2 linked regions of the Astyanax mexicanus genome follow. Each later gene encodes a partner of the first gene's protein in a complex. Links are inferred from orthologs where the notes say so. Each region holds a gene or a part of one and is shown on either strand. Other genes may lie near its edges.

What was found. The genes of interacting proteins can lie anywhere in the genome.
Region 2: dpm2 (region 1) and dpm3 share a complex: the UniProt entries of both Homo sapiens proteins name them as parts of the dolichol-phosphate mannose (DPM) synthase complex. The link is inferred for Astyanax mexicanus from reciprocal best matches to the Homo sapiens genes DPM2 and DPM3.

What each region holds. Positions count from the first base shown.
Region 1 is NC_064408.1:13,684,283-13,691,427, reverse strand, and holds the start of dpm2 (dolichol phosphate-mannose biosynthesis regulatory protein), read right to left. Parts: upstream 3,025-7,145; 5' UTR 3,016-3,024; coding exon of another isoform or gene 3,013-3,015; 5' UTR 3,001-3,012; coding exon 2,965-3,000; intron 1,973-2,964; coding exon 1,883-1,972; intron 1,138-1,882; coding exon 1,035-1,137; intron 337-1,034; coding exon 281-336; 3' UTR 1-280. UniProt on the Homo sapiens protein: Regulates the biosynthesis of dolichol phosphate-mannose. Regulatory subunit of the dolichol-phosphate mannose (DPM) synthase complex; essential for the ER localization and stable expression of DPM1.
Region 2 is NC_064410.1:27,956,848-27,963,680, forward strand, and holds dpm3 (dolichol-phosphate mannosyltransferase subunit 3), read right to left. Parts: upstream 3,013-6,833; 5' UTR 2,907-3,012; intron 1,471-2,906; 5' UTR 1,452-1,470; coding exon 1,173-1,451; 3' UTR 59-1,172; downstream 1-58. UniProt on the Homo sapiens protein: Stabilizer subunit of the dolichol-phosphate mannose (DPM) synthase complex; tethers catalytic subunit DPM1 to the endoplasmic reticulum.

The DNA.
Region 1 (7,145 bases):
ATTCCGCATATAAACTAATCGTTACATGGTCTGTCCTGTGGCTGAGGTTGCTGTGGTCACTGGGTTTTCAATGCTAGGGTATGGTGTCCTGTTGTTTATAGAGATGCAGTGTTGCCAGGGCCCTCTTACAAATCACTGGTGATTTCATCAGCCTCTTACATACTGCTGCACAGCCTGCTGGGAGGAGTCTATAGGAACGATCAGCAAGCTTCAGAGAAGAGCTGGGTTTAAATTTAATGTCCAGTCTTGGGCAGCTGAGAGATTTCATCACTGGACAACCTCAGTCCACTTTCTTTGGTTTACGATTCTTCCACGTTACTACTCCTATGAAGGTGCCTGTGGATAAAAATAAATGGAATAAAATCCACTGAAAAAGCAAATACTGGCAATTATGTCAAATAAAAAAACATTTATTGTGCATCCCTAACTACGATTATTCTAGCAATTAACCAACTATTTATATTAGTATTATTTTTAAACAAATAAGCTTAACATTTAAAGGGCTTTACAAGTTGGTAAACAACAATGAATTAGGATTAGAAACAAACACTTCATAGTAAAAAAAGACAGGAAGATACATTTAGATAAATAACACTTAACAGTGAATGGATTTTTCAATGTAAAACATAAAAATACATTAATGAAATTAAAAAGAATGAGAATCAAATCTGATTACTAAATGATGGTTTTAAATTAAGTTTAAAATTAATTGTGTTGTAGTTTTTGATGAAAACTTTTGCAAAAGAGAAGTTTAAAAAACAGTATTTATTTGTAGCACCAAAAAGAAGTAGTCTTTTTGCTCAGGTGCAATTAAAAATGTTTACATGCACATAATAATCAAATAATAATATGATAACTTGCTATTAAGAAAATAATTGATAAATAAATCAACGTGTTTACAATCCCTGCAAGAACCTAATAATGAGAAAACTCAAGAGTCTATTTTTGATTTATTATTTATTACAAGAAAACATTTTTATTGTGTAATTAAACTTTTAATTTATCTATAAAGAAATGTATTTTTCTTTACTTACCGACACAGAGTAAAAGAATCAGTGCTGCTACTCCTGGAAGTATGACCGAGTACTCACGAGGAAGAAAGTAACTGTGGATCACATGATCACTGTCTACGAATGGCTGCAGAGAGAGCAGAAGAGATCTGGTTAGTTTTTATGTTGTGACAGATGTCTGTTTGTATCATTATTTGGGTTCAGGATCATTCATTCTTAGTACTGCAGTAAAACTGGCATGGTGGTGGTGTATGAGGTGTTTGTGTGTGTTGTGCTGGTACGAGTGGATCAAAAACAGTTGTGCTGCTGGAGTTTTTAAACATCGCAGTGTCAATGCTGAACTCAGAATAATGATGACCAACACAAACTGTGCAGCAAGAGATTCAGAGCTTCTGTCTCTGACTTTACTTTAATTTATCTACGAGGTTGAGGAGCTACAGTAGGTAGGAGTGTCTAATAGAGTGGAGGACAGTGAGTGAAGAACAGTGTTTAAAAACTCCAGCAGCATTGCTAGGTCTGATCCATACACACAAAATAAGTGGACCTATCGCAGCAATTTTCGAAGGAAATCACTGCAGTCAGTGCGGAATCATAATACTTTGATAAATATACAGGTACAGTGCTGTTTTGTGCCATATTGCCCATCCCTACTCTAATTTCAGGGATGTAGCTACGTCATATATTTTTCAGGCATTAGGGAACACCTACTAAAATGAGTGAGACTCACTGAACTTCCATTATTAGTGGGTCCCCTGCTACTCTCTGCTACTTCTTCCACTAAGCACAATTTCTAATCAGTACCCGTTACTTTCACTTTAGTACAGTTTCTGTGTTAGAACTGAGAGAAGGTAGATAGGATTTGTTTTACTTACCAGCACTATAACCCATAGGGTGTAATATGTGAACAATAATAGACTGAAGCCAACGAGACCCAAACCCACAGCTTGGTCTGCTCCGGTCGCCTTTTCAGAGGAAAAGAGAAGTTTTAATCAACACTAATCAACAGTTACCCTAAATACAGGTAGTTTCATCCTTAGGCTGAAGCATTAAATGCTGTAAGATTTCGTGGGAAAACACTGCACTGACTTTGGACTTTATAATAAAACACAGTGGATCAACACCAGCAGATGACACGTCTCTCCAAACCATCACTGATTGGTGGAAACTTCACACTAGACCTCAAGCAGTTTGGACTGTGTGTCTCTCCACTCTTCCTCCAGACTCTGCTCCTTTGATTTACAAATGAAATGTAAAATTTACTGATGATCAGTGATGGTTTGGAAAGACATGTCATCTGCTGGTGTTGATCCACTGTGTTTTATTATCAAGTCTAAAGTCAGTGCAGTTTTGTTTTCCCAGAAAATCTTACAGCGCTTCATGCTTCCCTCTGCTGACAACTTTTATAGAGATGAGGATTTTATTTTCCAGCAGGACTTGGCACACTGCCCACACTGTAGCCAAAAGTAAGCCATAATCATCAACAATAAAATAAATAAACAATTAAAATAAATCACTCTGTGTTTAATACATCTATATAATATATGAGTTTCACATTCTTAACTGAATTACTGAAATAAAGTAACTTATTTTTAATGATATTCTATTTTTTTAGATGCACTAGTCAGTCAATGATCCTGCTTGTATACCTCAGAATGAGGGGCATAAACACACAAGCATGAGCTCAGTATATCGCAGTACACTAATATACATATCTCATACACTAATAAAAGGTTTATTTTCCAATTAAACGATATTTAAACCAACAATAACTAAAAAAAACAGATAAACACAGTCTAACAGTTATTTAGCTAAAGCTAGCTAACGCTAACTGAGCTCTCAGTGAACTTAATCGGCCCTAAAACTAATTTAAACCTATTTTTAAACGATTTAAAGGCCAGGAAGCGCAAATATATGACCAATTATCATGAATAACTTCATATAATAAATATATTACACTATAATAACAGGATAATCTTCTACAAATCTTCATCTTTCAGCTTACCATCACGAACTCGTCACTCTGCAACGCGTTCTTCCGTTTGCGTCAGGCGTTTTCGGTGTACGTATAACAGGCATTATGGGAAATGTAGTTTATTTGAAATGAGATTTGAAATGACAAAAATACGCCCTCACCACGAGAGGGAGACAACACCGACCCATCGCAATACATCACTGTTCACCTAATACACTTAAACGATTACACTTAAAATACACTTAAACTATTACATTTACAGTACAACAGTACTGCTGTTCTTTTTTCTATTGAGTTTAATTTGAACTAAAGTGCTTTTTTATTTTCTCTTCTTATCAATGTCTTTTTACTGCATTTCTTTGCCTGTCAGACCCTTAATTCTTCTCCTCACTGCTGAAACCGAGACTTAGTCCAATGTCAAGATGAGCTAAAATCGTTGCCATGTGGGTCAGCCAGACCTTTTCCTGTACCAGACTTTTTTCCAGTTTCCAAGAGTCTTTTGAAGGTGTAGGAAACGGTACTCACCGTTGTCATCTGTAATTTCTGTGTGTTCTGTTTCTTTTTCTAGTTATTATGATAAAAATGTGAATGTGCTGAGTGTAAGTGTGTAAATGCTGCAGTACAGAGTACAGTAACACCATATGTTCCAGCACTGCTTTACTTCAGACAAAAGGCTTTGGAAATTGATATTTAAAAAAAAAAAATTAAGCTCAGGTAATTTTCATTGCTACTTACTTAGTTGTAAGCTGTTAACCAATGATTTGTTTGCTAAAAGTCACCCCTGCTATATATATATATATATATATATATATATATATATATATATATATATATATATATATATATATATATATATATGCATTTTTTCCTGTTTTTATCATAAATATATAGGCTCTGACCGTTTACTGCAAAATTTTGTACACTAGAAGGCAGAAAAGAGCCGCCCCTACCTGAAGCTCAATCGACCTACAGCTGATCATGCATTGTAAGCAACAGATCTCGCTTTGATGAGCTTGAATCTACATCATACATTCAATATATATTTCTCAGAAATTCACATTCACAAAAAAAAAAATTAAGACACACTTCAATAACGCTGAAGTGATATTCCAGTTGTATGGAGGGATAGTAAAAAAAAGACACAACAGTGATTTTAGGATGCCCCACATTTGCTTTATTTCCCCAAAAATATGACATTAATACACCTCCAAATACACATTTACATTACAGAATACGAAACATTCATATTTGAGTGTAGAAATATAGTTTAGATCCATCATGAGACATACAGTCATACACCAAATAAAACCGAATGTGAGGTCAAGAAAACTTTGGAAATTATTTGTGTGATCATAAAATAGAAATATTCAAATAATTCTTTATATAATCAGAAAAATAAACTCATCACTTTTGTGGTAAAGTTAAATATAGATACTGCGTTTTCATAGAAATCTGTAATCTTTCAATATATCGATCATTTGTTAATTGTAACCAGTATAGTGGTCAAAAAATGGAGTCTTTCTGTCTGACCCAAGTGCATAGCGTTTGAATCTTTTACAAAATGAGAGAGAAAGAAGACAAACAGCATTAGTTGTGGAGGATTTAGCAGGTTTTTGTTTCTTTAAAGTTAGTATTTAAGTGCCGTTGTGGTGAAAGATATCTTTATTCGTTGGCCGATGATTCTACTCTGGAGATCACAGTGTAGTTTAACATTACGTGTAGAATTAATACTCTCAATCAAAAATGCTGAAAACACACCACGTTAGAGGAGAATTCCTCAGAAACAACGTAAATCAGAGTGAATTACACAATGGCCTTCAAGCGTTCTTACTCTTTTATAATGTAAGATGTAGCAAATCACACAAATACCCCTTATTCCCCCTCATTCGTCCCAATACTCAGTACTTGTCTTCCCACAACAGCATCTTAAATCACGTTTACAGAACGACGTTTGTGAGTGAAAAGAAAGATCAGTCACAGGTTACAGTCCATCACGACTGATACAAGAGGCTCATTTTTTTTTGTAATACAGGAAAATAAAACAAGACAAATAAAATAACAACATTAGCCTCTTTAAGTAGCAAATACATTGATCATTTTCATGCTGTCACAAAGTTTATTAAACATTAAAGACTTACCAGAGAGCGATCTGATAAGAAACAAACACTGTATGTGGAGAAAGTCTAAAATAAACCAGCCTGCTGGTTTGGAAATCCCAAAAAACAGGACAGTGTTAGCGTTAGCATTAGCGATAGCATTAGCATATCGCTCATATTGTTAGCAAGGAGGGCAGTACGAAGAAAGATAGTGAACAGACTGTCTGTCAGAGCACAGACAACAAGAAAGGGTGTGATTATTTTAAATAAAGTCTTTTGATTTAGATTCCCTTGATACTAGTGTAGTAGCCTAAAAACTACAAAAGAAAAAAAAACCTTGTTCACTCAGTGTTCACCCAGATAAGACACTAATTCGATAAATGCAAGCTTAGTGAGATAATAATGTAAGGCAGAGTGAGGCACAATCTAACTCAGGGTAAACTGTAAAATGGATTTTTATGTAGATGAACACATTTAAGCAGAACATTTACTTTTTAGTCTTATTGAATTTCATAATAATGTAATTTGTGAATTAGCTTTAGTACCATAATAGTAGTGTATATTGTGTATTCATACTAATCCCTCAGTTTGGGGGTTACGGTTGGTTACACACACTTGTCTCATGGAGAGTAATTTATTCATTTAAGCTGTAAGCATGGTATTGTTGGTATTGTAGTGGTTTAGGAAGTGTGCTACAGTAACTGTAGTCTTGTTTGCCTCTCTCTCTCTCTCTCTCTCTCTCTCTGCTGTGTAAAAAGAGAGCAACCTACAGTTGTGGTCAAAAGTTTACATACACTTGTAAAAAAACATAATGTTATGGCTGTCTTGAGTTTTCAATAAGTTCTACAACTCTTATTTTTCTGTGATAGAGTGATCGGAACACATACATGTTTGTCACAAAAAACAGTCATAAAATTTGGTTCTTTCATAAATTTATTATGGGTCTGCTGAAAATGTCACCAAATCTGCTGGGTCAAAAATATACATACAGCAACATTAGTATTTGGTTACATGTCCCTTGGCCATTTTCACGGCAACTAGGCGCTTTTGGTAGCCATCCACAAGCTCCTGGCAAGCTTCAGGTCGAATGTTTGACCACTCTTCTTGACAGAATTGGTGCAGTTCAGCTAAATGTGATGGTTTTCTTGCATGAACCCGTTTCTTTAGCACTGTCCACATGTTCTCAATGGGGTTTAAGTCAGGACTTTGGGAAGGCCATTCTAAAACCTTAATTCTAGCCTGGTTTAGCCATTCCTTTACCACTTTTGATGTGTGTTTTGGGTCATTGTCTTGTTGGAACACCCAACTGCGCCCAAGACCCAACCTTCGGGCTGATGGTTTTAAGTTTTCCTGCAGAATTTGGAGGTAATCCTCCTTCTTCATTATCCCATTTACTTTCTGCAAAGAACCAGTTCCACTGGCAGCAAAACATCCCCAGAGCATAATACTACCACCACCATGCTTGACAGTAGGCATGGTGTTCCTGGGATTAAAGGCCTCACCTTTTCTCCTCCAAACATATTGCTGGGTGTTGTGGCCAAACAGCTCAATTTTTGTTTCGTCTGACCAGAGAACTTTCCTCCAGAAGGTTTTATCTTTGTCCATGTGATCAGCAGCAAACTTCAGCCGAGTCTTAAGGTGCCTTTTCTGGAGCAAGGGCTTCTTTCTTGCACGGCAGCCTCTCAGTCCATGGCGATGTAAAACACGCTTGACTGTGGAGACTGACACCTGTGTTCCATCAGCTTCCAAATCCTTGCAGACCTGCTTCTTGGTGATTCTTGGTTGACTCTTGACCATCCTGACCAATCTCCTCTCGGCAGCATGTGATAGCTTGCGTTTTCTTCCTGATCGTGGCAGTGACACAACTGTTCCATGCACTTTATACTTGCGTATAATTGTCTGCACAGTTGCTCTTGGGACCTGTAGCTGCTTTGAAATGGCTCCAAGTGACTTCCCTGACTTGTTCAAGTCAATAATTCGCTTTTTCAGATCCACACTGAGTTCCTTTGACTTTCCCATTGTAGCTTTTGTAGCTGAGTCTAATCACTGGGTCAAATGAGCCCTATT
Region 2 (6,833 bases), on another chromosome or scaffold:
TCCGACGGCACTCGCACCACATTTGGAATGAAAACAAAAGACACTGTTAATCAAACGATGATGGTTATGTGGAAAAATAGTCTGTATTTTACATCAAGCCTTAGAGCCCCGAACATTCAGCAAAATATGGAATGTAGACAAAAAAAAACAAGAACTGTGCAAGTTTTGTACATTACAAAGCTTTTTTTTTTTTTTTTTTTTAAACAGTGGACCACATCATGTTCACATTTCACAGCCGTGACCCCTTCAGCGAATTACAGTGCAGTAAACTATAAATCATTCATTAAGAAAAAAACGAAAGGACCTTGGATTCCTTTAACAGACTCTATTAGAAACCAACAGAAACTTATCACTAAATTTAGTTAATGCAGTTGTCTGGACAACGTCCATTTCACTGATGCGAGATAATTGGTGGTCAGGAAGAAAAATGTCTGGTCAGTAGTAAAATGTATCTGATCCGAACTCAACACACACCGCTGTATGAATGCAGACCCAGAAGTTCATGGTAACACAACCCAATACCATTGAGTGGAACAGAACAGTACAGATTACACAATCAGCTCTATCTTAAAACAGTAACAGAGCTCAGCGTTTTTTTTTTGCCGCAGACATTCCTGTGCACTCATGGGTGCACTTCTTGAACACTGTTACCCTATTATCAAACTCATTAAAAATCAGTCTCCCGGTTTTATATCTAGCGGTATTGTTAGCGCGAGGGTCACGCTACAGCTCTCTCGCACAAACATGAAGCCATGCAGTACGGCTGTTACTAACTCTAGAATTGACTGAGAATTCTGACTATGCTAAAAACACTGGATCCAAAAACACAGACAGATCTTCAATCCCAAGCCAGCCCAAATACACATGCCCTGGAAGCTGCACTGAAATAGCACATTCTTCACTGGCATTTTATACATGTTTCAGCAAGGTTTTATACGGACTGTTGGGACAGGAAAAATAAAGGAAAAATATCATCTACATCTGCAGAACATATTTTAGGTCTTAATGTTTTTAAAACAATTCTAGTTTCCACTGCAAGCTCTCAATTTCTGGATTTAAGTCAGGAAGATTTAGCAAACTGGTGAAAACTATCATCACATAATTCATCCATCTATGGCTTGATAACAGTTCAACAATGTTCGTACAGGCTAGATGATTCTGTTGGTTGTTTTTCACATCTTCAGTCCCTTCTTTTTTAAATCAGCTTTGGCCTCTTTTATCTGTGCCTGAAGCTCTTTGGCTGCCTCCTCGCAGTCATTGAAGGTGGCGACTCTATAGCCGACTGTTGCCAGTGAGTAGCATCCAAACACCACCAGAAGGTAGACAGGCATTGGCCAGGCCACTTCCTTGTACACTGCTGGCAACTGCAAGTCCAGGAGGTCAAATGTGACCAGTCCCCATGCAATCCCGATCAGCGACACGCCCAGAAGCCACTGCAGAAGTTTGGTCATGTTGAAAGATCAGGATAACCTAGAGACCAAAGAACAAACAGACAGCAAACCAACAGAGTTAGATGAGAATTTACATGTGTTAGCCTTTCTTATATACTTCATGTGACAATTAACATTAAATATGTAATTACTTTTTGTATCAATTCACACAAAATATCCTAAAATAAAGGTGCAAGAGTGCTACAAACAAGTAAAAGCAATCGCTCAAAACTTTCCAAAACCATTATAAGGCAAGATAAAAATTAGCATAAAAAATTATTTATTATGGATTACACTTTATTTATTTATGGTCTGTCACAGAAATTATTTATATTATTGACTTATTGTACAATATATGGACTTAATCTCAATCATTTTTGCTAACTTCAATGTCGCCAATTGTGTTTATTTAAGAATGTGTGCTCTAGGAATTGCATAAAGTTGTACAAAAGCAGTGTGTAAGACTGGTGGAGGAGAACATGCCAAGATGGAAGAAAACTGTGATTAAAAACCAGGGTTATTCCACCAAATATTAATTTCTGAACTCTTACCAACTTTATAAATATAAACTTGGTTTCTTTGCATTATTTGCGGTCTGAAAGCTCTGCATCTTTTTTGTTATTTCCGCCATTTCTCATTTTCTCCAAATAAATGCTCTAAATGACAATATTTTTATTTGGAATTTGGGAGAAATGTTGTCTGTAGTTTATAGAATAAAACAACAATGTTCATTTTACTCAAACATATAACTATAAATAGCAAAATCAGAGAAACTGATTTAGAAACTGAAGTGGTCTAATTTTTTTACAGAGCTATTGTTTTTTTATTATATTTATGTTTTATTTATTTAGGATATTTAAGCATTTTTAAATACAATTCTTAATGTAATGTTTGAATGTTCTAATAATACTAGAAGTAAAAATAATATGCAATTGTTTTATATTGATGCTATTTTATTATCTGTATATCAGTGGCATTAATTTATCTTAAAATGCCAGTGAGACGATAATATCGCACTGATTTCTGAGACAATAAATCACCCAAAATATGGTTATCATGACAGGCTTATTTATCCCCTCTCAAGTTTGTAGCTAGCATTACTTAGTTATAAGCATTTAACCTGTTAACTAACTACACATATTATATCCAAATTGGAGAGATCCCCGTTGAAACTGATATTAACAACCCATAGAATTTCAATATTCCATGCAAGAGGTATTTTTATCTATCAGTATCTCCTTTAATAGAGAAATATTTCTAATTCTCACAGTAACGTTACTCGCTGACAGTGTGAGTAGTTAGCCGCTGGGCTAACTGTTTAATCAGCTCCCGCGCTGAATAAAGCGCTAAATAAATCACAGATCTGACCCGGCTGTTTAACACACAGCAGGGTAAAGATATTTACTGACAGTAAAAACACACAGAGACGTGTACATGTAATCTCCGGTCTTTATAAACGCCTGTTATTTATCTTACCTCTCAGCCAGCTCACCACTTCAGAGCGCGCGCACAGCAATGACGCCTTTAGCTCGCTGAGGCTGCTGGGAGTTGTAGTTCACCGCTGTAGTTCGAGACGAGTCTGACCGCAGAGCGCAGATTCACTCCAGCAGACCAGCGGCACCGAGAGCACAGTCCAGAGTGATTGTGCTCTACAGACAGCGACTGTTCACGGTCTGATTACTGATCGCTTGTGTATATCAGCATGTGTACAGTCACTCAAAAAGAGTAATTAATTTAAATAAAATATCAGATTCAGTTTAAGCTTGTGTAAATTAGTTTTATTCCTCCTTTGCTTTCAACCTAGAGGTTAAAGTCAAGGATAGGTCAGAATATTTTTATGGAGCTTAAAAGATTAAACTAGTATTTAAATTTGTATTTTTTTTTATATTTCAATTAAATTTGACTTAAAACACTTAAATATTTAATGTAAATATAATACTAATATTTTTGTGTGTGTGTCTTGTCATTGTGAGGTGGTAAAATGTGCTGTTAAAAAAAAAAAAAAATCAGATTTTTTTTTATCTGATCCATAAATCAGAAATACAAATTTAGGCCAGAGGTAAGAAAAATCCAGAAAGATTTGTTGCCTATGGGTAACAGCTAATAGCGGTTTTAATGGGGAAGTAAATTTAATTCACATATCGTCGCTGTCCAATGAAAAACACTTATCTCCAAAACAGCAACTTTACAGGAGAGGGAAAAAACCTTGTAAACTTTCAATGGAAGTCAATGTAAAAACAGTTTATTTCAAGTAATTTTGAAGAGTTTCTATTGGTCCGTTCATCAAGAAATTTTGACACAGTGTAAAAGACAGTTTGTCTGTTCAAATTATGTACTAAACTGAAAATCGACAAAAACGGAGATAAGTGTTTTTCATAGGACAGCAACGATATACAAAATGCAGAATCAAATATTCATATGTCAGCTTTTAGCTGCCATATATTATGTGCAAATAATAATTTCAGTCAATTAAGCCATTATGTTCTTATGGGGTGTTTACATAGCTAACCCTTTAGCTTAACAGCTTACCAAGCTAGACTAAATACACTAAAGTTTGTATAAGAATTACACTGTAAATGTCTAAATAAATAAAGTTTGTTTTAGACTACAAAGGTAATTCCAAGGATTTTGCTTAATTCAGAGATAGCTATCATCAGCTATGTCTAGCTGCTAACATAGCTTACTCTGGCTACATAAGCTAAGCTAAGCTTATGTGCGAGTAAGTGTGTTTTTTACAATGAATGTCTGAAAGCATACAGTCTAAAGTTTCCTTAAACTTAAAATATGGTGTTAGCCAAATACTGGGTATTAAAAATATATCAACAGCCAAAATATGAATTAGCCTAACACTTCTTAAGATAAAGCAAAGAAAGGAAATATAACCTAGAACAGCTGCTGGAGTCAAGCTGCAGCGCCGTGGCTCTGCAGTCAGATATCATTATATGCTGTACTGTATGAGAAACAGGAAAGATAAGATAAATAAGAACATTTCAAAAACTACACTTCATAACCTGGTATAATTCTTTACTGAGACAGAATCCAATTATTTGCCATCAGGAAGTATTTCTGAAAAGCTGTATCCTGCTAGCCTGCCTAGCCTGTTAGTGCTAAAGGGTAAACTTTGATTCATCACATTTTCTCAGTTTGGAAAAGTATTATGTAGGATTTATGTGGGAAGCGTCGTACTTATCAGTAACCTGTACTTATTTTGATGTAATTTTAGTGAAATTCCAGTGCTGAGCACTTCTTTTCTGATTTCCTCAGTGTCAGCTCGGTCCAGGATCTTTGCAGGGGTACATCCGTCCATTCAGTGCTGAGGATGGCGAGGCCTCGACGGGCAGCAGAGGCCGTGACCTGAGTGACGTCCACAAGCAAACTTGATACTCCGCGGGCAACGACTGCCAGCCCCCAACACGTAAACAAAGTCTAGACAAATGCTGGGTTATTCTGGGTGATGTTTATATTTGTGAGAAACCTTTCTTAATGTGCCAGCTCAGCTAGATAACGAGAAACAGATTCAAATACGGTCACCAGTAAAACAGCACGTTTGTATTTTAAACTTTAGTATGCCTAATACAGTTTATCCAAGTAACCAGACTAGTATAAATACGCTTAAATCTATGGAAACTCATTTCCACCTCAAAAATAAGGGTCCTACACTAAGTTATTCAAATAAGTCATCAATTATAAGATACTAAGTCATAATTATGAGACACTAAGGCATTATTTTGATATATTAAGTCATATAAATGAGATTTTAAGTCATAATTATGAGATACTAAGGTATTATTTTGAAATAAGTCTTAATTATGAGATCATGAGATATTAAGGCATTATTTTGAGATACTAAGTCATAATCATAACATAAGACATCTCATATTTATGACTTAGTATGTCATTATTATGACCTAGTATCTCAAAACAATGCTATAGTATCTCATAATAATGAGTAATATCTCATAATTATGACTTAGCCTTTCATCATTCTCATCACACTTGGAAAAATTAATGTCCTTCACTAAGTCAAAATTATGAAAGGCAAAGTCATAATTATGTGGTAGTTACTTGTAATTATGACTTAGTATCTCATAATTATGAGTAGTTACCTCATAATTTTAAGTAACTACCACATAATTATGACTTTGCCTTTCATAATTTTGACTTAGTGAAGGACATTTATTTTTCCAAGTGGCGTAAATGGGCTTCCATATAAACTAGTGTGGAAGTTTTAAGTATTTTTTACAGTACAGCTAGGCTAAATGTGTGTTCAGTTAGAGGAAAAGCTACGAAGGGGCGTAGCTGGTTTAACACTGGAAAATAAGTTTGTTATAACATCATTTTTTTTTAAATCATATAATGATTTACACAAATGTGATTAAATAGCATCCATGCTAACAACACGGAGTATATTAGAGATACTGTAGTGATAACATATTGATAGAATTATTATTATTATTCTGTTAAATAAATATGTTAAACCCATTTTATTTAAAATTGCAGGATTCTGTTTATCTCTCCAGCTCTATTCAGTTCTAATTGTATGATTCTCTGACATCAGTTTGCAGTAGCTCTTGTATCAGCACCAATAGCAGCACCATGATTGCTCAGGCAACCCTAAAGCCAGAAAAAGGTACAGGAATCTACCAAACACCCTGTTTTTTTGTGTTTATTTAATGAACAAATGTGGCTTTGCAGAAATGGTAGCAGAAGCACATTGATGCCATTTATTATAATATTTTGTCCGCACCCCACTTAGGAACACTACTACTTTCAGTTAACAAAAAAATAAATAAATAAAAGCACTGCAGCACAAAATGAACCAAAGTGTACTACTAATCTTTACATGTAATCTAAAAGTAAAAAAATTATAGTGTGTTTTATAAAATAAATACAGTATTGCAAAATAAAATATGACAATACTTTGATGTATCATTTTTTTTATTTTCATGCCTAATCATTTGAACTGAATTGGTAAATAAAAAAAAATAATAATAATAAATACATACATATAAAAAAAGAGAATTGATTTTTCTCTAGAATACTTCCCAGTGCCTTATAAGGATGAATATGTTTAGGTAATAGGGTTATCTAAGTAAAGTACCTTTTTTATTATCGTTAGGACTTTTAACCTTTGTTAATTGTTTTTATTTAAATATTACATTATATTTAGTTGTATCTTGGACAATGTAACATAATTTGGATCTGGCAGTTGTTCTGTACATTGTATAAAAAATTCTAAATGAATGGACCAATAGAAATGTTCAAAAATTATTTGGAATAAATTGTCTTTATGCCTTGATGTCCATTAAAAGTTCCCCTGTCTCTTGTAAAGATGACATTTTGGAAATATGAAGTTTTTGTCTGACAGCAACATTAAACAGCATACAAATCAAGCAGCATCAC